Linked DNA regions of Notamacropus eugenii. The protein of the gene in region 1 purifies or fractionates together with the protein of each later gene. This does not show direct contact. Links are inferred from orthologs where the notes say so. Each region holds a gene or a part of one and is shown in the gene's direction. Other genes may lie near its edges.

Region 1 (15,731 bases):
CTTTTTAGGCTGGGCCTTGAGTGCTTATCAATAGTAACAATTTCTGTTTCCCTCCCATTTTGATTTAGTTATTTTTTTTTCCTTTGGCCCATTAAAAGGGCTATCCCCTGACTACTTCTCAAAGAGCTCTGTCCACTCAATGGGTGTTACCTCCCCCTAAGTGAGCACAGGAAAAGGCCAGCCTAAAAAGGACAAGGTCTCCCAATGCATCCTGGGCCATCTCTTGTCATCCTGATGAATATCTGGTCACTGGATTCAGATGGCTCTGGAGGAGAAATGAGGCTGGTGAGTTGCACAGCCCTTCCTCACTCAAAACAAAGTCAAGTGCAAGTCATGTCATTATTTGGCTGATGGTCCTCTTCAAAAACCAAGGATGAATACAAAAACAATAACAACAATCTAGACTATAAAACTTCTTCAATTTATGTTAAAGCACAATAACATTTAGCATGAGAAAAGACTAGACAACACTGATCTGTTGCTGGCTCTTAAAGAAAAACACTTTGATAGTATACAGTGTTACTTATCTACTGAAAAAAGCAAAAGACTGCATTCTGGTAATATTTCGGGTCGCAGGGAATTTAAGGGCCCCAGAGTTATATTATTTTTTCTTATTAACATTGTACAGTGGAATTCTTTTTTTTTTTTATTTAACTTTTAACATTTATTTTCACAAAATTTTGGGTTACAAATTTTCTCCCCTTTTATCCCCTCCCCCCCAAACCCAAGCATTCTAATTGCCCCTGTGACCAATCTGCTCTCTCTTCTATCCTCCCTCTCTGCCCTTGTCTCCGTCTTCTCTTTTGTCCTGTAGGGCCAGATAGCTTTCTTTACCCCTTAACCTGTATTTCTTATTTCCTAGTGGTAAGAACATTACGGTTGATCCTAACACTTTGAGTTCCAACTTCTTTAGCTCCCTCCCTCTCCACCCCTTCCCTTTGGAGGACAAGCAATTCAATATAGGCCAAATCTGTGTAGTTTTGCAAATGATTTCCATACTAGTTGTGTTGTATAGGACTAACTATATTTCCCTCCATCCTATCCTGTCCCCCATTACTTCTATTCTCTTATGATCCTTTCCCTCCCCATGAGTGTCGACCTCGGATTGCATTCTCCTCCCCATGGCCTCCCCTCTATCCTCCCCCCCACCCTGCTTCTGCCCTTGTCCCCCACTCTCCTGTATTGTGAGATAGGTTTTCATATCAAAATGAGTGTGCATTTTATTCTTTCCTTTAGTGGAATGTGATGAGAGTAGACTTCATGTTTTTCTCTCACCTCCCCTCTTTATCCCTCCACTAATGAGTCTTTTGCTTGCCTCTTTTATGAGAGATAATTTGCCCCATTCAATTTCACCCTTTCTCCTCCCAATATTTCTCTCTCACTGCTTGATTTCATTTTTTTTTAAGATATGATCCCATCCTCTTCAATTCACTCTGTGCACTCTGTCTCCATGTATGTGTGCGTGTGTGCATGTGTGTGTGTGTACTCCCACCCAGTACCCAGATACTGAAATGTTTCAAGAGTTACAAATATTGTCTTTCCACATAGGAATGTAAACAGTTCAACTTTAGTAAGTCCCTTATGACTTCTCTTTGCTGTTCACCTTTTCATGGTTCTCTTCATTCTTGTGTTTGAAAGCCAAATTTTCTTTTCAGCTCTGGTCTTTTCATCAAGAAAACCTGAAAATCCTCCATTTCATTGAAAGACCATTTTTTCTCCTGAAGTATTATATTCAGTTTTGCTGGGTAGGTGATTCTTGGTTTTAGTCCTAGTTCCTTTGACTTCTGGAATATCCTATTCCATTCCCTTCGATCCCTTAATGTAGAGGGTGCTAGATCTTGTGTTATCCTGATTGTATTTCCACAATACTTGAATTGTTTCTTTCTAGCTGCTTGCAATATTTTCTCTTTCACCTGGGAATTCTGGAATTTGGCCACAATGTTGCTAGGAGTTTCTCTTTTTGGATCTCTTTCATGCGGTGTTCTGTGGATTCCTTGAATATTTATTTTGCCCTCTGGTTCTAGAATCTCAGGGCAGTTTTCCTTGATAATTTCATGGAAGATGATGTCTAGGCTCTTCTTTTGATCATGGTTTTCAGGTAGTCCCAGAATTTTTACATTGTCTCTCCTGAATCTATTTTCCAGGTCAGTTGTTTTTCCAATAAGATATTTCACATTATCTTCCATTTTTCCAATCTTCTCGCTATGTTCTGTGATATCTGTCTTTCTCATAAAGTCCTTAGCATCCATCTGTGCCATTCTAGTTTTGAAAGAACTATTTTCTTCAGTGAGCTTTTGAATCTCCTTTTCCATTTGGCTAATTCTGCTTTTGAAAGCATTCTTCTCCTCATTGGCTTTTTGAACCTCTTTTGCCAATTGAGTTAGGCTAGTTTTCAAGGTGTTAATTTCTTCAACATTTTTTTGGTTCTCCTTTAGCAGGGAGCTGATCTGCTTTTCATGCTTCTCTTTCATCCCTCTCATTTCTCTTCCCAGTTTTTCCTCCACCTCTCTAACTTGATTTTCAAAATTCTTTTTGAGCTCTTCCATGGCCTGAGCCCATTGGGTGGGCTGGGACACAGAATCCTTGATTTCTGTGTTTTTGCCTGATGGTAAGCATTGTTCTTCCTCATCAGAAAGGAAGGGAGGAAATGCCTGTTCTCCCAGAAAGTAGCCTTCAATAGTTTTATTTCTTTTCCCTTTTCTGGGCATTCTCCCCAGCCAGTGACTTGACCTCTGGATATTCTCCTCACACCCACCTCGCCTCCTGGTCCTCCCAGCCAGCATTTGGGGACTGAGATTCAAATGCTGCTTCCCGCCTTAGGGCTTTTGGCGGGGGCAGGGCTGCTATTCAGTGTGAGAATTAAGTTCAGGTGGTCAGGTCGGGGCAGGGCCACCTCTCAGGCTCAGTTCCCTCAGGGGGTTTATGCACAGACCTTCCACAATGGATCCAGGCTCCTGCCCGCTTGGGGAGCCCCTGTCTGCTGCCGCCTCTCAGCTTCTATCTCCCGGGGGGGCCTGAAATATGGGGGCACCCCACTCCCCTCTCGACCCGCCAAAGAGACTCTCTCACCAACCCCCGTCACCTGTGGGTGGAGGGGCTTGTGCGGCCGCTGGAGATCCCGTCCCTGAAGCCTGCTCGGTTCTGTACCTCTCGGAGCCGCGGCCGCCGCAGGTCTGGGCTGGGTTCTGCGTCTGTAGCGTGACGGACTTTTTGCGAGAGGTTTGCAGGTCCCTCTGTGGGTGGAGGGACCCGCGTGGCCGCTGGAGATCCCGTCCCCGTAGCCCGCTCGGATCTTTTCCTCATGGTGTCACGGCCGCTGCAGGGCTGCCCTCTGCTCCCAGTCCCGGCGCCCAGTCCGCAGCGCGAAGGACCCCCCGCGAGAGGTTTGCAGGTCTCTCCGGAACAGAAATCTCCCTCGCTCCAATATTCCGTGGCCTCTGGGTGCAGAATTCACCGTGAGTTGGTCCCCTGTAGCCGTTCTGTGGGTTGTGGGTTCGGAGCTATGTGTATGTGTGTCTTTCTACTCCGCCATCTTGGCTCCGCCCCCTGTACAGTGGAATTCTGAGGCTAAAAAGCACTAAAACAGAATGGAGTCTTTCTTAAATTCCATTCTATGTTCTTTAGTTACTGAATTACCGAAAAGGGGATCATAATGATCTTCATGTAGAGACCATATAACATAGCCAGTTCCCAAGGACAATGAATGGCCTGATGAAGTCCTGGTGTGTTGGGGTTTTAAAGTTAGTCTTATAAATATGTGGACATATCCAATCAGGCTGATATTTTCCATCACATTATTCTGTGGAAGACTGCATGAGCTCTAACTTTCTCTACTAATATCTATATCAAAGGAATAGCAAAATGATAAGCTAGCACACAGCAAGAGAATTGGACAATGTGCAGTCTTATCTGTAGTGGCTACAAAAATGGCTCATGGGGAAAACAGGCTGGTAAAAGTTTTTTTTTTTAACTTAGCAGTTTCTAAAATTGTTCATAATACTGCCTTAGGTAGTTCCATGCATCTCCCCAGTTGCCTTGCCTTGTCATTTAATGCTAGCCACAAGTGGTACTAAAAATCTAGTTCACGCAAGACTGGATTTCCCATCATTTTAATACATACGTTACTAAATCAATTCTAAATGATTCCTTCCTTTCCCAAATTCTTATGCATTGATATTTCACCTTTGCCACACACTTAATCACATCCTAACTTCTATGACAGTTTTGTGTATGAGAGGCAGCATGGTGAAGTGGACCCAGTGGTTGTCATTCATACCACAGTACAAAGGTCCTATGCTTGGAACCATAAGTTAGTCAAACCAGTGGCTGTGATTAGTATAAGTCAAGGCTAGGATTTTTCATTAGAATAGGGGAATGAACAAGGTAAAAAAAACCAGGGCAATTCTGGAGCACGAGGGCAAACCTGGAAGGGATCAGGGACATTACGTAGATGGTGGCAATAGGACGCTGAGCATTTGGAGAAGAAAGAAGCAGAAGATAGGAAAAGGGTTCAAAGAAGGAAGAAGTCAAGACATACTTTGCAATTTTACTTAACACTGTGGCAGTAGGTCTTATACTACTGAAAATCAACTCACACGGTGCCTATGGATGCCAATGCCTGAATTAAGATTAAAGACTAATTCTGAAGACTGCCAACCTCAGCCTTACCTAGGTTGGCTTAGGTCTCCATTTCAGCTCAATACTTTCCTGTCAAAATAACAGTTGCTCCTCTGTTTGGAAGAGGAAAAAGGAAAAAGGAAAGGAAAAAGAAGAAATGCAGAGTCATTTATTCCTCAAATACTTATTAAATGTTATGTCCAAAGCATTGTCCTTCATGCCAGTGAGGTATAAAAAGACCATCTAAAATACAATTCCTACAAAGAGCTTATATGTACCCAAATACAGTTTAATAGAGAAGTTCAATGGGAATTCAGAGGAAGAGCTGCTTCACTGGGGAGAGCTAAGCCATTTGAGCTAGATACTGAAAGATGGGTAGGAATAATGTGTGGAGCTGGCAGGGGAGGGCAATTTAGGGAGTAAATGTGAACAAAAGTGTGGAGAAGTAGGGAAACGCTCAGATGGGGTTACGTCCAGCTTGAGTAAAATCTGGCTGAAGGAGAATGAAGAAGCCTGTCTGCACTTACTGCCTCCACCTCTGTTCCTTTTACGCTTTTCAATTCCTTTGCAAAACGGCTTCTGTGCTTATTATCCTCCTTAAGCTACAATGATCCTTTACGGCCAGACTGGATGACCCCTTCTCAGTCTTCAGTCTTCTTGTTCTCCCTGTACCATTTGATACTCTCTCCTGTCTAGGTTTCGGTGAGACTCTTCTCTCTTGGTTCTCCTCCAGTCTGAACCCTCCTCACTTTCTTTCACTGGATCATCATCCTAGTCACACCCCTAATTGTGGGTGTACCCCAAGGCTGGGTCCAGGGGCCTTCTGATTGATTTCTCTCTTTAATCTCTCACTTGGTGACATCTTCATCTCCCATGGGTTCAAGTATCATCTCTGTGCAGGTGACTCTCAGATTGAGCTAGAGATTCAGCCATGGTCTCTTGAGCTTTAGTCCCACATCACTAATGGCCCTGTTACCCACTTTGAATTGGATATCTCAAGGACATTTCAAAATCAATTATGTTCATTACCTTTCCCCCAAATACGTCTCCCTTTCCCAAACTTCCCTATTACTGTTGAGGATATTATCATTCTTCCAATGACCCAGGTTTATAACTGGAGTATCATCTTAGACTCCTAACTCTTCCTTGCCCCACACATTCAATCAATTGCTAAATTTTGGAATGTTTATCCTTACATCTCTTGAAAATGACCCCTTCTCTCTACTCAGGACCAAGTTTTGATATTTGTTTCCTCTTCCCTGGACTCACATAATACCCTAAATGGTCTCTCTCCCCACCCCAATCCATCTTATATACAGTACATAGCCCTCCATTCAACAAATCATGTCTATTACCTCTAGGATCAAATCTAAATCCTGCTGGGCACTTAAAGTGTTGTACAAGCAGGCCCTTTTCTATCTCTCCAATCTCTGTGCATAGTACTCCCCTCCATGTAATCCAACCTTACCCGCTTCTGTGCTGTTATTCACATGAGATTTCCTCTACTGTTACTGTCTCTCACGTTCTCCCTCATACTTGCCTGCTGGTATCACCAGTTTCCTTCGACTTATCATAAGCACTACATTCTGTATTCTGCTCCCTCTAACAGCTAATACCTTTCGATTCAAGGTTGCCTTGAGTCTGCTTTATTTGTGTATAACATACACCCACATGTTGCTTTCTTTCTAGTGTAAGCTACTTGAGGACTATTGGTTTGTTTTTGTTATTGTATGCCAGCTACTACCACAATTCTAGTTTATTTAACAAATTACACACAAATATACACAAACCTTGAGTGCCAGGCTAAGCATGGCCTTTATTCAGAAAGTAATTTGGTGCCTTTGAAGAAATGTTTTAGTTAGAATAATTGTGCAGTAAGTGGTTAGAACCCCTTGGAAGCGGAAGACATAGAGGCAGAATTTAAGTTAGGAAGTAGTTATTAGACTGCGAGCTCCTTGAAAGCAGGGGCTGTTTTTTGCCTTTCTTTCCCAAGTGCTTAGCACAGTGGGGCAATTAGGTAGTGCAGTGGATAATCTGCTAGGCCTGAAGTCAGGAAGACTCCTCTCCCTGAGTTCAAATGTGGCCTCAGACACATATTAGCAGTATGATCCTGGGCAAGTCATTTAACTCTATTTGCCTCAGTTTCTTCATCTGTAAAATGGGGATGATACAGCGCTTTACCTCTGAGAATTGTGAGGATCAAATGACATAATTGTAAAGCACTTAGTATAGTGCCTGGTACATAGTGTGTTGGTCCTTTGTTGCAGTAGAAGACCATGCCATCAGAGAAAGAATGACATGACTTGCACTTGACTTTGTTTTGAGTGAGGGACGGCTGTGCAGGTCACCAGCCTCACTTCTCCTCCAGAACCATCTGAATCCAGTGACCAGATACTCATCAGGATGACTGGAGGTGACCCAGGATGAGGCAATTGGGCTTAAGTGACTTGCCCAAGGTCACACACCTAGTGAGTGTAACTCAGGTCTTCCGGACTCCTGCACTGGTGCTCTATTCACTGTCCCTCCGGTACACACCAGTGTATGAATGTTAAGTTACTATTATTAACTTCTGTGAATGCAGCGTGTTCACCATCTTTAGGTACCATCGTAGATGTTCTAGAAGCTTTGGATCTGTTTCTTTTACAACTTTATGGAGTATGAGCTAAAACTGATCATTTATTTTATTGGAGTTTAAAAAAAAAGAGTCAGTTTTAAAAATTCAATTTAGAGTGAAAGAACACACTTTGAATGCCTTCTCTGTTTATGTTTTGTTTTCTGAAGGCCTTCTTAAATGACCTTTCCCCAAATGACTTAATCTCCACTGCCTCTGGGGATGGCAGGTTGGCACAACTGGCATTTCCCTGCGTGTCTGCCCGGCAGGAAGCACCAGGAGTAGGACTGTGTGTCCTCAAACGCCCCCACCCCTTAATAAAGAGTCCCGGTCCAATCCACGATCGCTGAACGCGGATAAAGGACTTTAAAATGTTCAGGTTTGCTCGAGGGCGTTGGCGCAGGGCCCCTGCTGCCCTGGGCTGGCTTCATACAGGGAGCCCGAGGTCCTGGGTTCAAATTTAGCCTCTTACCATTCACTACCTGCCTGACCTCCTTAAGCCTCTGTCTTCTCACCGGTAAAACGGTCTCTTCAGCTCTAAATCTTCCCCGTCACCCCCGCCCTGTCTGCGGAGGGCCCTCTACGTCCGGCCTCCTAGAAGCGGAGGCAGCTCTCCTGAGCCTCGGCCCGCACCGCCCACCGCCGCCCGCCCGGGGCTCTCACAAAGTCCCACAAGTCCCACCTGCAAGCCGCACGGCGGACAGCGCCCACCGGACCACCTTCTGCACATGCGCCATCTTCCGAGGGGGTGGGTTCGGTGGGTGCGTGGAGGAGGAGGTGGCTGGCGCGCGACTTCGGGATTGGGCGGAGTGGCGCGTCTTAGGAGAAGGAGGAGCCGGGGAGGAGGAAAGGGGCGTGCCTTAGGAGAGCGTGCGGCTGCTGCGGTGGGTGGAGTGACTTCGAGGAGCCCGGCTCGGCTGTCTGTGATAGGTCGAGCTCCGGCGAGGGCTTTCAACTCCAACTTTATTGACAGCCTCGCAGAGAACAGAGTTCAAAATCAATCTGATGACCATTCCGCACTAGTAATAGGTTTTTCTAATAGCAGACTCTCCACCCAGCCTGATAAACAGTAGTGGACCCTGTTAGGAACCGTTTCTCAATGACTTCCCTCAGGCTCTCCTTCCTGTCGCGCAGGCGCGGCGGCGATAGGCCGCGGACTGGGGTCAGAGCGGGAGGGCGGGGCCTAGGAACTTGTGTGTTGCGGAACCACCGTCCCACAGTCGGAAGTTCCCTTGGGCCGGCTCGGCTTCGTAGTCGAGCGGCTTCCGGAGTTTCCTCTTCCGCTCCATGTGAGATCTGGACCGGCAGAGATGTCGAAGAAAAGTTTACGGGGCCGGCGGCGGCGGATCCTGGATCGCTGCCTGAAGGAGCTGGACACTCACACGGCTCATCCGGAGCAGTTCCTCACGTAAGCATCCCGTGGTGCGAGAGCTCCGGGCGGAAGGCGGCGTGGAGGAGGCCACGCCACGAGGCCTCGGCTCTCGATCTCGCCCCTGCCCAACGGGCTCATCCGGGGTGAAGGGAGGGGGAAGGATGGTTTCTCTTGGTTACCCCGGCGTCGCAGTCCGCTTGGAGGTAACTTTTGGAGCGCTGCCTCCTTACGGCTCCAGACGGTCCCCACCAGATCCCTCGTGACCAGGAAAGGCAGAAAGACAGCCCCTGCTTTCCGGGAGCTCACAGTTAATGCACCCATGCGCTGTCCACAGAGGGAGGAAGGCGTGGAGTGGCCGGAAAGGCTGCCCTGAGAAGGGACAGGGGCGGGAGGGGCGGCCGGGGAGGATGGCCGTGGTCGGGGACAGAGAGGGTCTCTGAGATAACGAGTCCCCGGGGGGAGGCCACCCGGATCGGCCAGTCCTGCTAAATATCCATGCGAGATGATGGCAGAGTTTTCAAGGTCTCATCCCAATTGGAGATGTTTGTAAAGGTCTTTCTTGTAGACCAGAAGATAGCTCGGTTCCCGTAGGTCTTGGAGTAATGGGTCCTGGGGGCAGAAAGACACGTTTGAACTCCTTGTAAGAGAGGACATCTGCTTGATAGAACTGTCTAAGAGTGGGGTAGGCTTCCCCAAAGAGTCATGTATTAGAAGGTTCCCTTGGTCTGCACGCTCTCCGACTTCCATCCTTGCCTTCTGTGACTGTCAGGACAGACCCTTCCCTTCCCTGAGGAGGCAGTCCCATAGCTAGGAGTTTGGAGAGCCTCCACTGTCCTGGAGCATGTTCTTAAGAGGGGACTTGAGATGTGACGTCCAAGGATTAACTGAAGCAAGTAGGGCTGTTTGGTCTAGAGAAGATCCAATGAGTCAACCTCAGCTGGCTGCAGCCCTTGTGTAACAGGGATTAAATTTATTTTACTTGACACCAGAGAACCAAACCAGAAACAGCAGGTAGAAGGTGAAGGGAGAAACCTTAAAAATCAGAGCTGGTCAAAGTAGGATGAAGTAGTGAGCTCTCCACCACCAGGAAAGTTCAAGTGGAATCTAGGTCCCCATTGGTCATATTGTAGACAGGCTTTCTGTTCAGGTAGAGGTGGGACTGGATGCCTGAGTGTTCTTCAGGTCCTGGGAATCTGAGCTCCTTTATAAGGAAGGTAAGAGACCTGTTATACTTTGTTAAAGCAAGCATCCTCCATCTTTGGGAGACTTAGTGGATGACCTATGTAAGAACTGCAAAGGATAAAAAGGCTTAGATGGGTTGTAATCTCTACAGTGTACAGAATCTGAACATTATTGATCCCCTTTCATAAGCCACCACTGTTTTAGTATTTTATGTTTTGCATGTTATACAAACACCCAATAAGTGCTTAGTCAGTTCTGTGCACAACGACCACAACTAGTGATTATTAGGCATCTACTTACATGCCAGGCACTATGCTAAGCAATGGAAGTACAAAGACTGTGCTGCCCTCAAGGAACTCAGTCTAATGGGGGTGGGGATTAAGAAGAGACAACATGCAACAAACAACTATGTAGGAAATAGAGATGGGTAGAGAGAACTTTGCAGGCATGGGAGGCAGCCAGGGAAAATGCATTGAGTATGAAGTGTCTTGTGTGAGGAAGAACAAGTAAGGCATAGTCACTGGATCATAAAGTTCATGGAAGGAAGTCAGGTGTAAGAAGACTGGAAAGGTAAGAAGGAGCTAGGTTATGAAGGGCTTTAAAAACCAGAGGATTTTCTATTACCTGAAGGTAATAGAAACTCACTGGAGTTTATTGACTTAGGGGGTGACTTGGTCAATTCTGCTCTTTAGAAAGATCACTTTGATTGCTGAGTAGAAGATGGATTGGAGTAGGAAAGTTCCTGAACAGATTGATTGGGATAATGGTAATAGAGGCAAGTGTGGCATGAATAACTGAATCTTTTGCTTTTCTCCAAACTTTGTTTTATTGTAGATTTTTTTTAACATCCTCCCTCAACAAACTTTTACAATAAGTTACTGAGTAGCAAAATTTCTCTTAATTTTACCACTCCAGAAAATGTAGTGGGCATGTGGTTATGTTTAATCCATTTAAAAAAATTATGAGTATACGGCTCTTTTCTGTGGGTGAAGAGTTAGAAGTTGAGGGGAAGCCCATCCATGGGGAATAACTGAACAAGTTGTGGTGTGTGGAATATTCTTGTCCTATAAGAAATGATGAGCAGGATACTCTCAGAGAAATCTGGAAAGACTTACATGGGCTGACAAAAAGTGAAATATATTGTGTGCAAAGTAACAGCAATATATTAAGATGATCAGCTATGAATGACAGCTATTCCCAGCAATACAGTTATCCCAGTCAACTCTGAAGGATTTGTGATGAAAAATGTTGTCCACCCCTGTGTTGCAGACATGGGATGGAAGCTGGGGCTCTGCCCACCCAGGGACACCAAAAACTGTTGTGGTTTCATGATGTGTTATCTCAAAGAATTCAGAGTCAGACCACCTCTGATCTAAGTATAGGCATTTATTGAGGATTGACGCCCCTTTTGAAACGGGCTGGGTTCCAAGAAGAACTAGCAACTTCAGTGAAAGCAAGATGGATTTTTTTAATAGGGTAAAGATGTAATTACACAACAGAAATTATGAACATTAAAAAGTCAGGAGGGATTTGTTAAGGGATTAGATAATGGGGAGGGATCTCTTCTATGGTTTGGTGGTCAAACATCCTGGTCTTGCAGCCCTTTATTGGCTAGCTATTGTGGTTGTGTCTGGTCAAGATAGATAGGTAGGTATTGTGGTCCTCTCCTCTGCTAAATGGATGATGTGATTATGCTTGAGATCAAGAACACACCTGTTCAAATATGTGAATTGGATCTGGGGGTGGTAGCTAGTTAGGGGCAGTATCTATATTGAGTCTGGGGGCCGTATAGTATGGTTAAAGTCAGATTGTGTGGTTAAATTAGGACATGCTTGCTGTTCAATGGGCCCATAAAGAAGTTAGATATTGGGGCTGGTGGCAGCTTTATTAGGATTCCATCACCCAAAGAAAGAACTGATGATATCTGAATACAGATTGAAGCATCCTTTTTTTAACTTAATTTTTCTTAGTTTTTTTTTTTGTCTGTGTTTTCTTTCACAACGTGACTATTAATGGATATGTTTTGTGTGACTATACATGTATAACTTATGTTGAATTGCCTGCCTTCTCAATGAAGGGGGCTGGGGATGAAGGAAGGGAGAGAATTTTGAACTCAAAGTTTTAAAAATGGGAAAAATAAAATACTAAATAAAGCCTAAAAATGTGACTATAAAAATGTTGAAGGTATTATTTTAAATTTATTGACGTTTTCTTCCCTTCATAGTGTTCAAGATGGATTGGCTGTAAATTTTATATCTTTAACAAAAGCCCTTTTTGATTTACATAAATCATTCAAGGCCGATGCAACTCTTGGGAGCCCTTTAGAAGAATTGGTGATAGAAAACTTTGATGATGAGCAGATTTGGCAGCAGCTGGAATTGCAGAATAAACCAGTTTTACAGTACTTTAAGAAAGCTGTTATTGCCAATGTTAAAGACAAGGAACTCCGTCTTCTCCCAGAGAGTGAAGAGGTTGACTCAGAGATAGACATTGACAGTGAGGAGGAAATAGAACAGGATTCGAAGCTGGAGCAAAAGTCAGATCTAGTTCATGATGGTCTTGAAAAAGACAGTAAGAGAAAGAAAAAGTTAAATAAAGTTGATATGGAGGAACGTTCAGATTTTAACGATGAGGATTCTGACCTTGACTTTGACATTGATAAACTCGAACGTCAAAACAAGAAGCCAAAAGTATTTATTAAGTCAAAAGAGAAATCCATAGTAGATGATAAATTTTTCAAATTATCTGAAATGGAGTCCTTTTTGGAAGATATGGAAAAAGAGAAGAAAGAAAAAAAGGAAGATGATGAAGATGATGTTAATTATTTTGAGGAAATTATTTCTGATGAGGATGGTGACCTATTTACAGACTCTCCAAAAAAGGTAAAGTTTTTCTTTTGTCTAGTGATTAAGTTTTGTCCTTTTCCTTTTGTGGATATTTAAAGTATCTTTAATATAAAAAGGACTTCCTTTCTCACAGTTCATTAGGACTCAAATGAATAATTCAGATATGTTAAAGCAAATAAAAATGACCCAAAAATTTTCACCAAACTCATCACTTTCTCATCCTACTTCATCTTATTCCCATAAAACCTCAACCAACCAAAATAGAAAGGTTAGGGCCTATAGCATTTAATAATTTTAAAGTACATTTAATATTTCTTTTAGTCTTGACATGGGTTTGCTTAATATTTGTTCTCATATTTTCCCATAAACCTAGTCCTTTCACACTTTGCAGTACCTGTCCGGAACATCACTTCCCTTCCAGTCACCCAGGTTGGAGACCTTGGAGTCATCCTTTACTTCTCAGCCGCTTTTATCCGACATAATCCAGTCAGTCACCAAGACTCGTCAAGTCTGCATTAACATCTCTTGGATCCAACCCATAAAGCTCCCTCCTCGTTCAGGGCCTTGTTGCTTCTTGTCTCTACTATTGTAGTGATTTCTCTGCTTCAAGTCTTTCCCTACCATTCCATCCGCTACTTGCTGCCAAAGGGATTTTCTTAAAGCACAGGTCTGACCATATCACTCCTCTGCTCTGTAAGCTGAAGGGCTCCTCATTACACTTAAAATCAACTACAGACTCCTTTGTGTGGCTTTTGAGACCTTTCACAACCTGGATCCACATCGGGGGTCTCCTTTTATATTCCCCTTCTTACCTTCTACAGTCCAGACAAACTGGCCTTGCTGTTTTCTCATTTATGATACAACACACTGTCCCCTCTTAGAGTTCACTACCTCTTCACCTCTGCCTGTTAGGATCCTTGGTTCCTTTCAAAACTTAGATCTTCTACATGAAACCTGTGCTCTCTGCTGCTGGTGTATTTCCCCTCCCTGAACACGATCTTCTATTTCTTTTGTATGTACATATGCGTAGCATATGTATACACACACATATATACATTTTGTTTCCTTAATAGATTATATGCTCCTTGAGACCAGAGACTGTTTAATTTCCGTTTCTGTATTCCTAATGTCTACCCAGTAAGTGCTTATCAATTGACCTTTGTTAAATTAAGAGATGTAGAATTCTTTATTCTCTTTTGCCAAATTTAAATATTTTTTTATGCCTAAAAATCAATGAATGATCTGTGTGCAGATCTTATAGGCTATATTTTTCTTTTACTCTTAAATGCTAATTTCAGTTAATAACTTTCATTGGAAAATAATTTTCAGCATGTAGAAAGTACTTTTAAAAAACTTATTTTTAAAGTTATTTTCTCTCCTTAAGCAGAAGATTTAAATGTTTTATTTTAGTCAGAAAAAAGTTCCAGAAACCTAAAATACAAAGATTTCTTTGACCCAGTTGAAAGTGAAGACACAGCAAGTGATAATGATGGACTGGGTCAGGATGAGGTTGAAGATGAGGATAAGGAAATGGATCATGAAGAAGAGGAAGACATTTCTGAAGAGTGAGCATTTTGAGTCATCCTTTTTAAGTTGTGTCATGTAATTTGCCCATCAGTTTTTGTCTGGTTTTAATGTGAGTTGTCATATGCTTCATTTAGGAAGGTGTTACTTTAATTTCACTCTAGAGAACCCATATGTGTAGATGGTGGGTGGAGATGGGCCAGCAATGGGGAGGGCTTTACAATAGCTTATGGTTTTGCTATATAGTTCTTTGATTTGGTTCCTATTTTCAATAAAAATCACTAATGTCAACATTGTATCATCAGTTGTTAGAAATTATGAACTATTAAGGTTGCTATTTGAATATATTTGTTTAAATCAGTGTTGAATATTAGTGTATTAAATGAATATTATGAAATCTTTTTTTAGCTATATGGGAATTAGTTTAAAATGATTCCTTCTTGATTTTTTATAAGTTTTCTTGACTTTGGAAGTATAGGAAATGTATTAGATTTTGAGGGTATGGTATATTTAAAATGGAAAAGTTTTATTATTGGAAAATATTTTTTTTTCCTTTCCTAGAAGATACATGTGAATAGTATTTCCTTTGCTAAATGTCTTGATGGTTTAGGGATGAAGAAGATGAAACTGAAGAAAATGAGAATAGACAACATGGAGCTGGGAAAAGAGTAACCTTTGCTTTGCCTGATGACAAAGAAATCCAAGACACAGATGCTTTCAGTGAAAAGAATAATTCTGATGGAGTCAAATCCTCTTTTGAACAAAGACAGGAGAAGGTAACGTATAGCCAATATATATTGTACAAAGAAGCAAAACATTTGGTTTGCAATAGCTGTGACTTGTCATTTCTCAATGTTGTTTGAGAAAATGCATTTAAAGTGATTTTAAACTTTAAAGTGGTATCTAAATGTAAATGATTATTACTATATGAATATTAATATAACATTTTCCTAACTCACTGAAATCTTCTAATGCATGAAAGTCACCCATGTGGTCATGAAGCCTGTACCTGCTCAAGTTCTGGTAGATACTGCCAAGCTGAGAAGGTTGAAGAGTAGGTCTTGTCCATTGCCTGGACTTATGCCTAGATTGACTATCACCCCTCTTAGAGGCCATTTATTAATGTAAATGGGATTGTGACCAGCATATATGGAGGCTACCCCACCAGTGAAATAAAATACAAAGTAATGAAATAAGTACTTTTCCCCTTTTATTCTCAGATGGCAGAAAGAATTAAATCTTTAGAGAAAGAGTTGTTGGAACAGAAACCTTGGCAGCTTCAAGGGGAAGTGACAGGACAAAAGAGACCAGAAAACAGCCTTCTAGAAGAAACATTACACTTTGACCATGCAGTCAGGATGGGTAAATGTTTAATGGTTTCTTCGTACTTTGATTACTTTGATATTTGTTTATGTGCCATATTTAAAACAGTATTTGATAAAGAATTGAACATTTATTTTCCAAAATAGTGAATAATATTTAACTTTACCTGTGTGAACCTTAGTATTACTTCACCTTCTTGGGCATCAGTTTCCTCCTCTGTAAATGGGAATGATTTAATAAGGCTTTACAACTATCT
Region 2 (15,265 bases), on another chromosome or scaffold:
TGGATCATCATGAGTTCTCTGGAGTTGTCTTGGATCCTTGCATTAGTAAGAGCTAAGTCTATCAAAGTCAGTCCTCACACACTGTGGCTGTTGCTGTGTACGATGTTCTCCTGGTTCTGTTCCCTTTACTCAGCATCGGTTCATGTAAGTCATGCTCATCATTTCTTACAGCACAATGGTGTTCCATGACATTCATACACCACAACTTGTTCAGCCATTCCCCAATGGATGGGCATCCCCTTGATTTCCAGTTCTTGGCCACCACAAAGAGAGCTGCTATAAATATTTTTGTATCTGTGGGACCCTTTTCCTATTTTTATGATCTCTTTGGGATACAGCCCTAGAAGTGGTATTGCTGGGTCAAAGGGCAGGCACAATTTTATAGTGTATTATAGTGTGTTTGCTTAGAATTCAGTTCCTTAATCACCTCCAAAGCCATCACGTTGCCCTGATCTCTCCATCTTGTTCACAAGGAGAGCCTGAGAGCCTGGCCAGTTCTCTACTGAAATCTAGGAAGGCGCTGTTGACAGCTTTCCCAGGCCAACTGCAGCAGCAATGATGACAATCACTGTGACTGATGCAGTTTATTCAAGTTAATACATGTATTTCCATGTGTTACATGCTTTACCTATGTTTTTGAGTTAATCATGTGTAAGACACATCAGAACAGGCTCCAGTGGGGCAGTAGGGCCCTGGACAGAGGGAGCCCTGCATGAGTTGGGGAACCAAGTGGAAAATAAGGATTTACCCCATGCGTTGTAGGGGCATTTCAGGCAGAGAGGGCTGGTAAGTAACTGGCAGGATAAAGGCACCTTTAGTCCTCAGCCTCTCTCGAGATGCCAAAAAGTGAGGCTGGGAAAGCTCAGGTTTGCCAAGGCACAGAAAAGTTCCACCCACATCAGCAGACAGAGAGACTGAGGGCTTAAAGAACAGGCAATTGAGGAGAGAATGCTCAAGTGCTTAGGGCGGGCACCCCAGGTCTAAATGAACAAGGGCAAGGCTTGAGGGCCTGGGGCCAAGGAGGCAGGGCTTCAGGGAGAATGCAGGGCTTTGGGCCCCTTGAGGAGGTTGAAGGTCACAGCATAGTGTCTTCACCATCCAGGGAAGGACTGAAGGCACAGACCCCACCTAGTGCAAGTGAAAGTGAGGGTAGAGGTTGGTGACACCCAAGGTCAGGGAAAGGAGCCCAGTGGCTAGATGACTTGTCTACACCTGACTGAGCTCCGAGCACAACCCCTTCTTCTCCTTTTTTCTCCCCTGCCCCAGGGTTTGGCTAGCTCCAAGCTTTCCCTTTCTGTCACTTTGTCTAGTCTCCCTCACCCCCACCCTAGTTTCCTGAGAAAAGAAAGAGGGTCTTGATAGCCCCTGTGACCAAACTTCCAGTCAGTCACACTGCCTCAATCCCATGAGGTTATCTACCTTGTTCGGTTCTTTGTGCTCCCCAGAACCAAGATAACGGGACCTGTTCCTTTGCTTGGGCTGTTTGGCATAAATGGAGGCAAATCTGTGATCCTTTATTGACAGGCAGTATGTACCTGTTAATAAAAGGTTATCTCGCTTGGAGAATTGCCTCAGTTTATCCTTTTGTTAAATTTCAATTGTGACAGAAGGAAGACTGAGGAAGGGGACACAAACATTGTTTCTTTGACAGTATTCAAGGGCTGCTGATTAAGCCCTTCAGGGCCAGGGTATCAATGATGGATGGACTCCATCCTCAGAGACCATATAGTCCATTGAGTGAGAACAAATTAGACAAATAGGTGGGATGCAAGGTCAGAGGTAACGAGATCAGATGGGAAAAGCTGAGGACCGGGAGCTTAGCCTCATTTCAGTGATGTCACACAAGGCCTGGCTGGGGCTGGAGAGGAAGCTCTTTCTAGCCACAGGGGAGAAGGTTTGGGAATGCAGAGGCTGCCATGAGTAAGGTGTGCTTTCAAGGTCAAGCCAGCAGTGCAGTAGGCTCCAGTTCTCAGGGATCTTGAAGGGAATGCGCTTCAAAGGCTAGAGCCATGAGGTGGACGGCAGCGGGGTCCTTGCCCAAAGGACAGCACAGTTGGAGCCCAGTTCCTGTGATTCCAGAGTGTGTTCAGCAGGCAGGTGGAACCACAAGGTGAAAGGCCAGGTAGGGGGCAAGAGGTAGGAGCAAGAGATGACTTGGCTTACCAAAGGTAGGTGTTGAGAGAGAAAAGAGAATAACTTAGCATACAAACTGTGGGGTGGGAAGTAGGAGGAGAGCCAAGAAAAGGCAGAGAAAGATGTGATCACTGGCAGAGAAAGAACAAGGCCTGAAGAAAGGTAATTTGATCCCAGGCTTCGAGGAGAGAGGCCTCAGATCCAGGACAAGAGAGGTCAGCTTGCATCCCTGCTCATACCACACACCTGGGCAGCTGTTCAGTTCTGGGCTTCAGAGTTTCTGAAAGAACTTCATAAGCTGTCAAGCTCTAGAGGGTGAAGGGTCATAGGAGATTCAAATAGGGAAACTGAGCCCTTGTAGTCTGAAGAGGGAAAATGGCATGAGTCACATGGAGTGCGCATGATGTTTGACTTAGGAACAGCATGGGCAGATGTACAGAAAAGCTGCTGGAGGAGCTGAGCTTGCCATGTGAGGAACGTCCCCCCAGGAGGTGTTGTACGGAGGATCCTTGCCCTTGTCCATCCCAGAGGACCAGCCCCAATGACCCTCAAGATGTGAGAAACTTGTCTTTTGAAGATCAGATTAAATGACACAACATTGGAATCTCAGTATTCCCAGAGTCCAAGCCCAAGCCATTGTCTGCCATGCAATGGTAGTGCTCCGGGAGTAAAAGATAAGAAGCTGGAGGGAGAGGGGAGGACAAGCTGGGATCCCAGGGCAGGAAGTAGAGCCCCAAGCCCCTCGGCTGAGGCACAAATCTTGCCAATATAAAGGTGCAGACATCAGGGGCTATCTTTTGAGAATGACCATAGATAGTAGAGGCATTGAAGGCCTAGGGGCCACAAAATTGGCATTGTACCAAGGACAAGGAAGCACAGTCTGCTTGAAGGGCACTCTGCCTCAGCCACTTGACCAACCCAACTTTCTCCCAGATAACCTCCCAGATCATGTGGATTTGCATCCTGACTTTGTCCCTTCTGGCCTCAGTTTCTTCATTTGTGACAGGCAGGCATTGGGGAGCATGATCTCCAGCCTAATATCCTGACTGTTTCTGGGCTCTTACCATATTCCAATCTTGGTCAGGTGGGAGCAGGGGGGGACTGACCAAGGAGGTGAGTCCGAATGTTGCTCCTGAAGCAGGCCCAGAATGAGGGCTGATTCCCATGAATCAAGAAATCATTGTTCTACAACCAGTGTGGAAGGGCATTGTGGGAGCCCAGAGAGAAAGCATCAAGGACTGGCTGTAACCATTAAAGCCCAAGTATTCAACATATATTCCTTTCTTCTCCCAAACTGCCCTTAGGGCACCATGTTTGAGGCATTCTGAGCTCCTTTTCAGCCATTGTCACAAATGGGGCCACAAAGAGTCAGGATTCATCGGCATTGCCAGCATCCCCCATCAGATGGTGAGCACCCAGAGGGCGGGGCCCTTAGCAGGCTAATTAATCAGTGTGGCCTTAATCAGCTCAGGCCAGAGCCATTTGAACTGGGGCTTCCTGAGGTCAGGCCCAGTTCCCAGTGGCCTGGAGTGCTCCAAATGCCCTAGGGAGGCAAGGATGGGGGGGACCAGAAGGAAGGGAGGAGGGCAGAAGGGAGGGAGGGAGCCAGGGAGCCAGGACGTCCTGTCACTACTAGTCCAGCAGGGGGCGCTGCCGAGCCTGGGCCCGGGCCTGTACTGTTCTTTCACTGCGGCACCAGCAGGAGGCGGTGCGGAACCTGCCGCCTACACGAGCCAGATTACTCGAGTCTTTATGTATCTTCTATATGCTGCTCAGGATCGTTATATTTCCCATATGGTCTAGCGGTTAGGATTCTTGGTTTTCACCCAGGCGGCCCGGGTTCGACTCCCGGTGTGGGAAGTGTATGTTTCCAGTTTTGCTGTTGGGGTTGGGGGGGTGGGGCCGTGCTTTTGGAGGTGGGGCTCCACTTTCCTGAAAGGTCTACGTGCCTTCACCTCCTCCTTCCGCGCTGTCAACGTTTCTGAAAGCCGGCCCCGGCCCTGGGCCTGCTTTTTCCACTCTTTCACAACAACCAGGGCAGGAGGTTGAGAGCAACGCTGGCCCATTTTACAGATGAGAATGTTCCAACGAGGTCGGCTTGACTGCAATGTTTTATGGCCTTGGACACGTCTTAGGCAGCTTGCTTCAATTCCCAGCATGAGCCTGGGGTGGCCTTCTTTTCCTGCCACCCCTTCTTTTCTCCCGACCCCAGTCCGGACACGCGTTCTGCCTCAGTTACCCTTCCTCCAAGAAGGGATTCTCTGGGTTTCACCTGCCCCTCTTTTTCACCTGGACCCAAGCTCTACTGCGCCGCCAGTGAAGCCTCAAAGTGGGGTCCGCCCCGGGTCCTCCCAGGGGGGCTTGGATGCCTCCGAAAATAAAAAAGTCTAAAGCATCTTTCCCATACCGGGAGTCGAACCCGGGCCGCCTGGGTGAAAACCAGGAATCCTAACCGCTAGACCATATGGGAAGGTGGTGTGTTATGTCGGGTTGTGTATGTAGTGTTTTCTATAGTGCTGTGATTCACAACTCCCCCTACAGGTTCTTGGGTGTACTGTCACGTAGCTCCAAGGCCTGCGTCCACTGTTTCTTCAGCCTTCCCAACCCGAGCTTGAGGTCACTGAGGCCAGGCCCGGCCATGCGGTGATCCGGCGCCCAGTCGGGCCTTCGCGGGGCGCACCCAATGACAGCATTCCAGTCTCTTTCGAGCTGGGGCTCATCACTCCACTGCCCGACTCAGGGACACTAAAATAAGAAAGAAGCACCTACTATGCGCTAAGCGCTTTGCAAATATGATCTCATTGGACCCTCGCAACCCCGGGAGGCAGGTGCTACAGTATTCTCATTTTACAGAAGGGAAAATTTAGGCAAATGCACTTGCCCAGAGTGGCAGTTGGAATCGAAGTCTTCCTGTGTGCTGTGGTGTCCTCCGCATCTCATGGGAGGAGACATTGGTGTGATAAAGACCTGGGTGCGAATCCCTCTTTAGAATTGTCCTAACTCACTGACAGCTTTGAGACCTGGTTTAGCCCATCTGATGAGTATACCGTGATATGGCTGCAGCTTCTTGGTGCCACAGGTGAGTGGGGGGAACACCGCAGGTGAACAGCTCTGAAAACAGGTCAGCAAGTCCTGACATCACAGGCACTGGTCCCCCTGAAACACCGCATCGCACCCCCACCCCCTACAACCTTGTCAGCAACTTCTCCTCCTTTGTGATTCCCATGATACAAGCTTGTCAGCCAACACAAGTGTTGGCACCTTCCCCCTTCCTTCCTCTCCAAGGACTTCCAACTTCATACTAGGGAACACAAAACACACCAGCTACCCAACCCCCTCTCCCCCATGACCTAGGCTTGCTATCCATGAACTCCACAATACTTTCATTTTTTCAACCTTCTTAGTTACCTCATGTGGACTCCTCCCCAAACCATTTTGAACCCTCAAGACCTGAGAAAGGCCTAAAACCCCCAGGTTTACCAATCAAGAGAGACATTTTGGCCCACTCTGAGTTTAACCTACCATAATGCTTTGTGTTCTCTGGCATAACAGACATGCTTTGTTTTGCTCTCAGGGCAAACCCAAAATGCCCCTTCCTGTGTTAGCAACTCCAAGGCCAAATGAAGCCAAGCAAGTGCCTCCTCCTGTTTATGACAACCACAGTCCAAGTACTTTGAACCAGACAGCATCTTGAATAATGGGACTTTTTTTATCTTGGTTTTTTACGGACATATTATATTACATCATGATGATAAAAGGAACAGACATCCTGGATCCATAATTTCTTTTTTTTTTTTTATTTTGTAATGTTTAACAATCACTGCCATACAATTGCAATTTCATCCCTCCCCACCTACTCCCCACTACCCCCCTCCCTCCCCACGACTGCATACAATTCTGTATAGATTCTACATATACTTTCCTATTGAGTATATTTTCACTATAGTCATGCTATGTAGTCAGACTAAGATAAATGAAAGAAATCGTATAACAAATCAGAACATGATACACAAACACATACACATACACAAACATGATCTGCTACAATATGTGAGTGACTTCCATATTTCTCCCTCTGAGTGTGGCAGGCATTTTGCCTTGAGATCCTCCATTGGGATTTTTTTTTTTTGTAAGAAGTTCTTGTGTTATTACAAAAATCTAAGTCTACCAGAAAAAACTCTCACACACTGTGGTCGTTGCTGTGCATAAAGTTCTCCTGGTTCTGCTCCTTTCACTCAGCATCAGGTCATATAAGTCCTTCCAGGCCTCTCTGAAGTCTTCTTGTTCATCATTTCTTATGGCACAATAGTACTCCATTACATTCATATACCATAATTTATTCAGCCATTCCCCAATTGATGGACATCCCCTTGACTTCCAGTTTTTGGCAACTACATAGAGTGCTGCTATAAATATTTTTGTACATGTGGGACCCTTTCCCATTTTTATGATCTCTTGGGGATATAGTCCTAGTAGCGATATTGCTGGGTCAAAGGGTATGCACATTTTTGTAGCCCTTTGGGCATAGTCTGGATCCATAATTTCAATTGATATTTTGACATTCTCCTATCATGTTGCATTTACAATCTATCCACTTAAGAAATTCCTTTCTCATATTATGGTTAACACATATGGATACTATAATTTGGGCTGGCACCAGCATCCTGAGTCAGGAAGGCAGGGAGGAATGAGTGAAGGAGTTAATGGAAATTGCTCTGAAGATAGGCAAGGTCCCTTTTGTCTGCCCACCTTTGGATTTGTTGTCTACAATGAATTCCCATTTGTATCTCTATATGTACATTCCACAAGCTTTCAGATAAGTAAACACACCCACAGCTTAATTTTCTTTATGTCTTTTTAGAAAGAACTCAATAATGACCAACACTAGGTATCCTCAGCCTCAAAGTTAATGGTCACCAAATCAAGTTTTGTTCAATGAATTCCTTTGTCTGCTGGAAAAACTCTTACAAGAGTTTAAGCTCATTCCTTCAAGCCCCACAAGCTGACTCCCTGTTCCAGCCCATATTTATTCAAACAGTAAACAGCTGAGGTGCATCTGCAGGTTGCCCTGGAGCTTGGCCAAGGCCACTATGGAACAAGGAAGGCCAGTCCCAGCCAGCCTCACTTGGTTGGGATAAGCTCTAGAGATTAGGCTGACAATGGTTGTCTGTCCCAGAAGCCAAGAGAATCAAACACAGAAGGGCACACAGATAAGAGTGAAGGGGTTTTTGAGCGGTAGAAGACAAGGGAGAACTTTGGACCTTTCTTTCTATAATACTACATTTTACTTAAGAATTTTCTCCTTAGCAAAACCAGGAGAACATTGTACACAGTAACAACCACAATGTGCGAGGAGTTTTTCTGGTAGAGTTAGCTCTCCACAGCAATGCAACAACTGAAATAATTTCCAATGGACTCAAGGCAAAATACCTCCCACATCCAGAGAATAAACTATGGAATTGGAACAAAGAACAAAGCAGACCATTTTCTCTTATGTTTTGTTTTGCTTTTTCTCATGGTTTCTCCCATTCATTCTAATTCTTCCATGCAACATGACTAAGGTGAGTATGTATTTACTAAGAATGTATGTGTAGAACCCATATAAGATTGCACACCATCTTGGGGAGGGAGTGGGAAAGGAGGAGAGGAAGGAGGTGGAAGTAAGGGGAAGAAAATCTAAGATTTATAGAAGTGATTGTAGAAAACTGAAAACAAACTAATAAAAATAAGTACCATGCCATGAGGAAAAATAAAAAGAATTCTCTCCTCAAGTGGCAATATCAAAAGGTGCATCAGCTGGTTTGTGGGGAGGGGATACTTTGGTATTTAGGTCAGAAAGTCATTTGGGGCTTACAGGATGCAAATCCCACTAGTCTGAGCCCAACTGCTGCCAGCATTTTCTAGTTCTCCCTACACTTTTCGTAGAAGTTGGGGGATCTTTGCCCCCCTCCTCTTGGTGTTTTGTGGCTTAACAAACAGCGGAATGTGCCTGTTCTGTCAGGGGTCTTGGTCTACCAATCTATTGTTCACGTTCCTGACAAATGGTTTTCCTAGCTTTGTGGCAGGCAAACTTTAGCACCCCTTTGGTGATCCCTTCCTCCAGCCACCTCCACCCACTGTGTGATTTTGCCTGGTTCTGTAACAGTGCTGGCATTTTTTTTCTTTTTAAATGTCAGGAAAAGGGGACTGAGCTTGGTAGCCTCCATACCTCCCAAACGAGGTAGGAAGAGGCCAGGGTAAGGAAGAGCCAAGGGCTGGAAGCAATTGGCAGCATGAAATAAAGACTAAAACATGGATTTGGACGCCGCACATTAGAGAGCGTATCCAAGCCACCTTCCGCTGATCAAGCAGCTTCTGTTTGTTACGCTGAAGGACTTGAATCTGGGATCTTCCCGACGGGACTCGGCCCTGGAGCCCAGCAACCTCAGCAGCCATCAGCAGAGCTGCGGAGATCTTGAAGGGAAAGAAGGGTTCCACCGGCTGCCCGCCCCTTCCTCTGCAGCCAGCCAATCAGCGTGCACCCGTCAGCCACCTCGCGAAGAGCGCCATCTTCAATGAGGGCGTGGGAATCCAGCCTGCGGCCCGGGCGGAGCAGAGCGGAAGCTGGCGCCGGGGGCGGGCCGAGGCTAGGTGAAGGGGACCGGAACTCACTGGCTCTCGCGAGGCCTTCCCTCCTGGGGCCCCGCCTCCCTCCGGTCCGCCAAGACTGCGGGGATTGGTCCGCCAGCACTCGGCCTGACCACGCTCCCTGCCTGTGAAGGGAGGGTGGGGTTGCGCAAGCGCGCTGAGCTTCGGGCACCACACGAGGAGATTTTCGTAACGGGAATCGGAGGTCGCCTGCAGGCATGGTCCGAGCTGGGGATCGGTGGGGTGGGTGGGGAGCCGGCGGCACCTGGGGTGGGAGGGCGCCCCTGGGCCGGAGAGCCCCTGGCTGAGGGTTGGAGGGATAGACTGGGGAGGCGGCGGGACTGAGGGAGGGGGAAGTGCCTCGCTGGGGCTTAGCGATGCCCCCCTCCCCACAATCCCTTGGCAGCTTCGACGCGAGGCCCGCCTGCGCCGGGAGTATTTGTACCGCAGAGTGCAGGAGAAGAAGCAGCATGTTCTGCAGGAAAAGAAACTGAGGCTCCAGAAAGCCCTGGAAGGTAGGGCCAGGCCACGGGCCCACCGACCTGCAGCCCTTCCCCCGCCTGTCTTTCTTTTCTTGTCTTCTCACTGGCTCTTCCCTTTTCCTCCAGACGATCAGCCGATCCCGACGGAGGTGCGAAGGGAGGCCCTGACTCTCCACAGGGCATTGGAGTTTGATGGCGCTGGAGGGGAAGGTGAGAGAAGTCTCCAGGGGTGGGGCCGCCTTCTCATAGGATCTCCAAGAAGCTGTCATTGATCGCTTCTGTTTCTTCCTCCTCCCAAAGGTGTCTTGAGTCACCAAGACGACGAATACCGATGGGCAGGTGTAGAAGACCCTAGAATCATGATCACCACATCTCGAGACCCCAGCTCCCGGCTCAAGATGTTTGTCAAGGTGAGCAAGTGACGGTAGATATCAGGGAAATGTGATGATGAGATCCATCCCAATGCCTTACTTCTTGTCCTTTCTGATCCTTTCACCCAGGAGCTGAAGCTGATATTCCCTGGTGCTACCAGAATGAACCGGGGTCGACATGAAATGGGTGCCCTTGTCCATGCTTGTAAAGCCAATGGAGTCACAGATCTGCTGCTGGTGCATGAGCACCGAGGGACACCAGGTAAGCACAGGGGATGGGCCCAAGTGGCCAATGGAGGATCAGGAGAGGGAAGCTGTTTCAGGGAGTTTTTTTGCTCCCTCAATATATTCCATACTTAGCACATCTTTGTCTTTCCCAACAGTTGGCCTCATTGTGAGCCACTTGCCCTTTGGGCCTACTGCATATTTCACACTGTGTAATGTGGTGATGCGCCATGACATTCCTGACCTTGGTACAGCTTCAGAGGCTCTTCCCCACCTTATCTTCCATGGTTTCTCTTCCCACCTTGGACAGCGAGTAAGTCCTGGGGCTAGAGAACTATCACCTCAACAGACAGTTGATAATCAAGGGGATGGTCTCTGGCAACACAAAAGGGGAGAAGAGAAAGCGCACTGTTTTCCTCATCAGGACCCTTACTCTAGCATGTTATCCTTCCCCAGGTCTCAAATATCCTCCGATACCTTTTCCCAGTACCCAAGGATGATAGCCACCGAGTCATTACCTTTGCTAACCAGGATGACTACATTTCTTTTCGGTAAATCTGGGCTTGTCTCTGGAGGTCAGAAAGGTAGGTAGCTATGTCCCCAAGGGCCAAAGTTATCTATATCCCTTCTGTCCTTCTAGGCATCATGTGTACCGGAAGCCAGATCACAACACAGTGGAGCTGACAGAAGTTGGGCCCAGATTTGAGATGAAATGTGAGTACAAAGAATACTGGGGAAAACAGACCAGGGAACTGAGCATGTGGGTCCAAATTTGAAACAGCCAAAGTCAGGAAAGATTAAGCCTGACTCAGCCTGAGACCCAAGCACATTCCTCTCTCTGGTTTTGCAGTGTACATGATCCGCCTAGGCACACTAGAGCATGAAGCCACAGCAGATGTGGAGTGGCGCTGGCACCCATATACTCACACAGCCCGAAAGAGGACCTTCCTCAGCATCTAGGAAAGGATTTCTAAAAAGGAGTACCAGAGCATGCACTGGACCACAGCCCATGACAAAACCTGAGGAAACCTGCCTTACCTGGGGAGAAGCCAACTCTTGCTGTTGTTAAAGTTCCCCATCTTCTGCACCTGTCATTTCTGGGACCTCATACTCATGGCTTTTGGATTTCCTGTAGTGGGCACTGAAAACTTCTCCGGGTGGGGACACAGGAAGGGCTCTCTAAATGGAGAACAGAAGCCAGTGGACACTGGGAGCCCCAAGGAGCCATTTTCTTGGTCACAAGCTCAGGGCCAGATGAAAACAATGGCTTTGCCCTCCGCACAGGAACCTAAGACTATGGAGCCATTACTCTGGGTCAAGGCTCAATCTTGGACAGCTGGGGTCTGAGTTCAGGATCTCAGCCTCATACAGCCTAGGAGAGGAGTTAGTGAAGGGTTGCCTGGTGTGGGGAGGGGTGTTCATTTTTATTTTTTTAGTATAGCCTTTTAGACTAGCCCACATCCATAGGTAAATCCCCCCTGAACCTCCCTAATGAGGGTCGTTGCTCTTGACTTTCCAAGGCAGCCTGTTCCAGTTAGAGACTTTTTACCCTTCAAAAAGATTTTCTCCCATTAAACCTAAACTTCTGCTCTTTCAGCGTTCCCAGTTCAGCTCTTCAAGGCCAGGCAGGACAAATCCAGTTCTTTTGTGGCATTTCTTCTCCAAGTTAAACATTCTCATTTCCTTCAGCCTCCTGGGAAGTTAACTTGAGGCCTTCTCCAGCCTGCTTGCTTCCTGCGCACCCTTTCCACTTTATAAAACTCACTATTTAAAAAACCAGGCTTACAACTCAATGTAGTATTCTAGCTGTACCTTCACAAGGCCAGAGGGCTCTGCAGTCAATGAGCTCCTGGAAGCTCAGCTTTCTTGTACATCCCAACATGGAGTACTTATGTAGACTTTGTGGTACACTAAGACCCTTTCATCTTCTTTCAGACAAACTGCTTATCTAAAGCTGTTTTTTCCATTTTGTACTTGGGGCAGAGATATTTCTTTAACCTAAGTAAGAGATTACACTTATTTTTCTCGAATTTCCTCTTTATATTCTGTCCAGTACTGAAGCTTGTCAAGATATCTTGGGCCATTGTCAGTGTAACCTGCTAATTTAATGAGCATGCCCTCTATTTTTTTTTGTCTGGGTCATATATAAACATGTTAGCTAGCCATTGGCCAAAGCACAGACACCAGAAAATTCTTGTGAATCAAATGCTCAGAGCTATTGGATTGGGAGGGGGGATGGTAGTTGGGACAGGCTCAGGGCCTAGGCAGGAACAGGAGAAATCAGCCCCTGCCAGGGCCACCCACAAAACTACATCTCAGAGGTCAGGCCAGAGTATGGTGGGAGGATGGGCATATGTCTACTCTACAAGGTCACCGCCGAGGCACAAGCTCTAGATAGTTGCTTAGTAGGGCGCAAGTCCAAGATCCATTGGCATGGGCATTCATGTATACGTAGGCCCGGGACCCAAAAGCACTGAAAAGGCTACAAGGACAGACACCTCATTCAGGATGGGGAAAACTTTATTGTGAAAAGGGAACTCAAATTTGGTTTCCCACTTGCCACCCTCTGTTTGCTTTAATGGGCCTGGGCTCCAGGCACAAAGGCAGGACTCTCACAGGCTTCCTACATTCGAGTCCACTCAGCTGGAGGATCCCGGGGACCTTTTGGTTTCCCAATTCGAATGTTGAAGCCTATGGGAAGAAGGAAGGGTTGAGATCTGAGGAAGGTGTGGGAGGGTGGGAGAGATGGCAAAGGAAAAGGTATGTGATCTATGGGTCAACTCACCAAGAGTGGTGCTGGGCTGGAGGCTGCTGGGACCCAAGCCTGGACCTGAAATGTCTGTTACATCCTCATAGGCCTCAGGCCCAGGGCAGTGCCTGGAGGGGGTGCTAGCTGTTGGCAAGATCCAATGGAAGCCCAGTTCAAAGCTTTGAGGTGCCTGGGGAACTGCCCACTCCCCAGCCCCTAAAAGGCCTCAACTGGTCTTCACCTCCAGCCAACTCCAAATTACTGTCCCATACTTACCTTTCCTTGCAGTGCTGGGTGCGACAACCTAGGGAAAAGGAAGGCAGGTATTTGGAGGGGGCCTGGTGGGGCCCTGCTCAGCATGGCCCTGCTCCCCAGCTTTGCCACTTACCAGGGACAGCAAGGGCCTCCCAGAACCTGCTGAGGAGCATGCGGGACTTTCCAAGGCTGCTGAGCTGGGGAAGGCCACCGGAGTGTATTCTGTGGGGGTCCCAGCCCCACCCCTAAGGGCCCTGGGTTTGACAGTGCTATACACAGCCGCTTCGAGCTCTGCCTCTGCAGGCTCACAGGTTGCTGCAGGGCCTGGAGCGTGGCTTCGCTTCTGTACCGAGGCATACGTTGCAGCCATGACTTGGTTGGCACTGAGAACCTGAAAGAAAACTAAGAATGGGGAGCTGAAAGCACCCTCTTCTGTCCTCTGCCACCTGGGTGGAAAGGCAGGTAAAGGACCCTGACCCCTAGGAGGAATCAGTGCCAAGAGGCAGGCGGAAAGTTCTTCCCTTGTCTCCTAAAGCCAGCAGCAGCATGGACCACCAACCCCGCATTGAGAGGTCAGATGGCATGTAGCCAGCTCTCCTTTAAGAGAGGGAAAGGATGCCAGTGAGAAGGGAAGGCACATGTCCAATGCCAAGCTGGCACCTGAATGCAGGCTTTGTCCTCATCCTACTGTCTCAAGAATTGGGGGGGAGAGTCAGGGAAACAGGACCTTCCCACCTCAAACCAAGTGTAACTGAAAGGGTTCAGAAAACTAGGAAGTTGGGCCTCCATTGTACCCAGGGGCTCTAGGGTTGGGGTGATAGAAGATGAAGCCCCCCTCTCCTGTACCTACCAAGGGACCCTAGAAATGGGGGAGGGCAGGGCAGTAGTTTAGAGACATCTCTGCAGAGCCAGGCCTGGGGGCTAAGCACTGAAGGAAATGGGGCCTCCCTCTAACTCAGATCTAGCTGCAACCTTCAGGAGGAAGAGAAAGTGTCGGGTGCCATGGGGGGCAGGGAGGACAGGGATTGGTGGGTAGAAAGAGGTACTAAGTTACCCCACCCATCACAAACTGAAACAGAACAGGATAGCTGGGGAAGGGGAGCTGTACCTGGTAACCCCGAGAAGCTGCCAGGGAAGGAAAGACAAGGCTGGGAGGGAGAGTGAGACTCCTGGGCCCCAAAGCTTCGTCTCAGGAAGTGATGCCTAGCCAAGCCCAGCCCAGGCTGTGACGTGACCCGAGCCTCCAACATTCCTGCCTCAGCTTGAGCAGCTTCTCCACAGATGGCAGAGATGCTCAAAGGAGGAGGAGGCAGTTCAAGGCAGTCAGGGGGACAGAGGAAGGCCTGGCCTGGGAAAGCTGGAGAGCTTTCGGGACACAACTACCTGGGAGCAGCACTCCCATTTGGGGCCTCTGGGGGAGAGGAAGCCAGGAGCCAAGAGCAGGGCAGGGGCTGGAACAAGAAAATTTCAGCGGCCCTATGGTCCTGGCTGAGGGCAGTACCAGTGTACTCCAGAGGAGAAGGTGGGGAGGTGGAGGAAGGAAAGGGACAAACCTTTATTCTGAGCCTATTACGTGCCTAGCACTTTACAAGCATCTTCCCAAAGCACGGTGGCCAAGACCTAGAACATGGGCCTGGTCCAGTCAGATCCTGGAGCTGAAGTCCTTTCCCCCACCCCCATGAATTCATGGACCCAGATCAGGTTTCCCACCAGATTTGCAGGAGTCTTTCCCTCTTAGCCTAAAGCTTGACCACTAAGGATCTCCACCTGTTGGTAATCTCCACCTCCCACCCTGAGCTCTCGAACTAGGGGGACCTGAGCAGCAGCCATAAATGTCCAAATGTCCAAATGCAGGTGGGGAACCTGCAGCCTTGAGGCCACATGTGGCCCTCTAAGTCCTCAAGGGCGGCCCTCTGCCTGAATCCAAACTTCACAAATTCTGTGAATTTGGCCCCTGGTCCAATCCATGGGGCCCAAAATGGCCAGCTCATTGTGTAATTTCTCATGGGAGGTTTTGTTCCTTATTTTGTAAAGTTATAAGAGGCAGATAGAATTTTGGCCTGGGTGACAGGAAGATCAAATGCTTGGACACTTACTAAACAAACAAATAGTAGGGAATGTGAGAAATGACCGAGTGCCAATGGCCTGGAAGTCTTCACAGAGGAGGTGGCGTCTGAGCTAAGCCTTAAAGCAGGGGCCACAAACTTGTTTTTTAGAAAATATTTTGCCAACTATTTCAATAGAATTGGTTTCTTTTGTAGTACCATATATGTGATTTTGTGCACTTGAAAACATTGTTGTAACAAAAGGTTCATAGGTTTTGGCAGACCTAAAACCAGAAGAGTTTATGACACCAAAAAAGGCTAGAATGATTGGTTTAAACTGGCAGCCGGAATTCCCGGAAGCAAATACATGGAGTCAAG

Evidence for each region.
Region 2: the proteins of MPHOSPH10 (region 1) and IMP4 purify together in Homo sapiens (affinity purification with mass spectrometry; 3 studies listed by BioGRID and IntAct, with this or other methods). This does not show direct contact. The link is inferred for Notamacropus eugenii from reciprocal best matches to the Homo sapiens genes MPHOSPH10 and IMP4.

The regions. Positions count from the first base shown.
Region 1 is NC_092872.1:150,958,468-150,974,198, reverse strand, and holds the start of MPHOSPH10 (U3 small nucleolar ribonucleoprotein protein MPP10), read left to right. Parts: upstream 1-8,427; 5' UTR 8,428-8,538; coding exon 8,539-8,636; intron 8,637-12,006; coding exon 12,007-12,664; intron 12,665-14,038; coding exon 14,039-14,193; intron 14,194-14,762; coding exon 14,763-14,928; intron 14,929-15,372; coding exon 15,373-15,514; intron 15,515-15,731. Other genes in the region: MCEE (methylmalonyl-CoA epimerase, mitochondrial), read right to left, coding at 7,911-7,965. UniProt on the Homo sapiens protein: Component of the 60-80S U3 small nucleolar ribonucleoprotein (U3 snoRNP). Required for the early cleavages during pre-18S ribosomal RNA processing. Part of the small subunit (SSU) processome, first precursor of the small eukaryotic ribosomal subunit.
Region 2 is NC_092879.1:101,888,241-101,903,505, forward strand, and holds IMP4 (U3 small nucleolar ribonucleoprotein protein IMP4), read left to right. Parts: upstream 1-8,821; 5' UTR 8,822-8,978; coding exon 8,979-8,981; intron 8,982-9,166; coding exon 9,167-9,275; intron 9,276-9,368; coding exon 9,369-9,452; intron 9,453-9,542; coding exon 9,543-9,652; intron 9,653-9,742; coding exon 9,743-9,875; intron 9,876-9,996; coding exon 9,997-10,151; intron 10,152-10,294; coding exon 10,295-10,389; intron 10,390-10,478; coding exon 10,479-10,552; intron 10,553-10,688; coding exon 10,689-10,798; 3' UTR 10,799-11,961; downstream 11,962-15,265. Other genes in the region: tyrosine-protein phosphatase non-receptor type 18-like, read right to left, coding at 12,462-12,529, 12,624-12,731, 12,864-12,891, 12,976-13,244, 13,951-14,092. UniProt on the Homo sapiens protein: Component of the 60-80S U3 small nucleolar ribonucleoprotein (U3 snoRNP). Required for the early cleavages during pre-18S ribosomal RNA processing. Part of the small subunit (SSU) processome, first precursor of the small eukaryotic ribosomal subunit.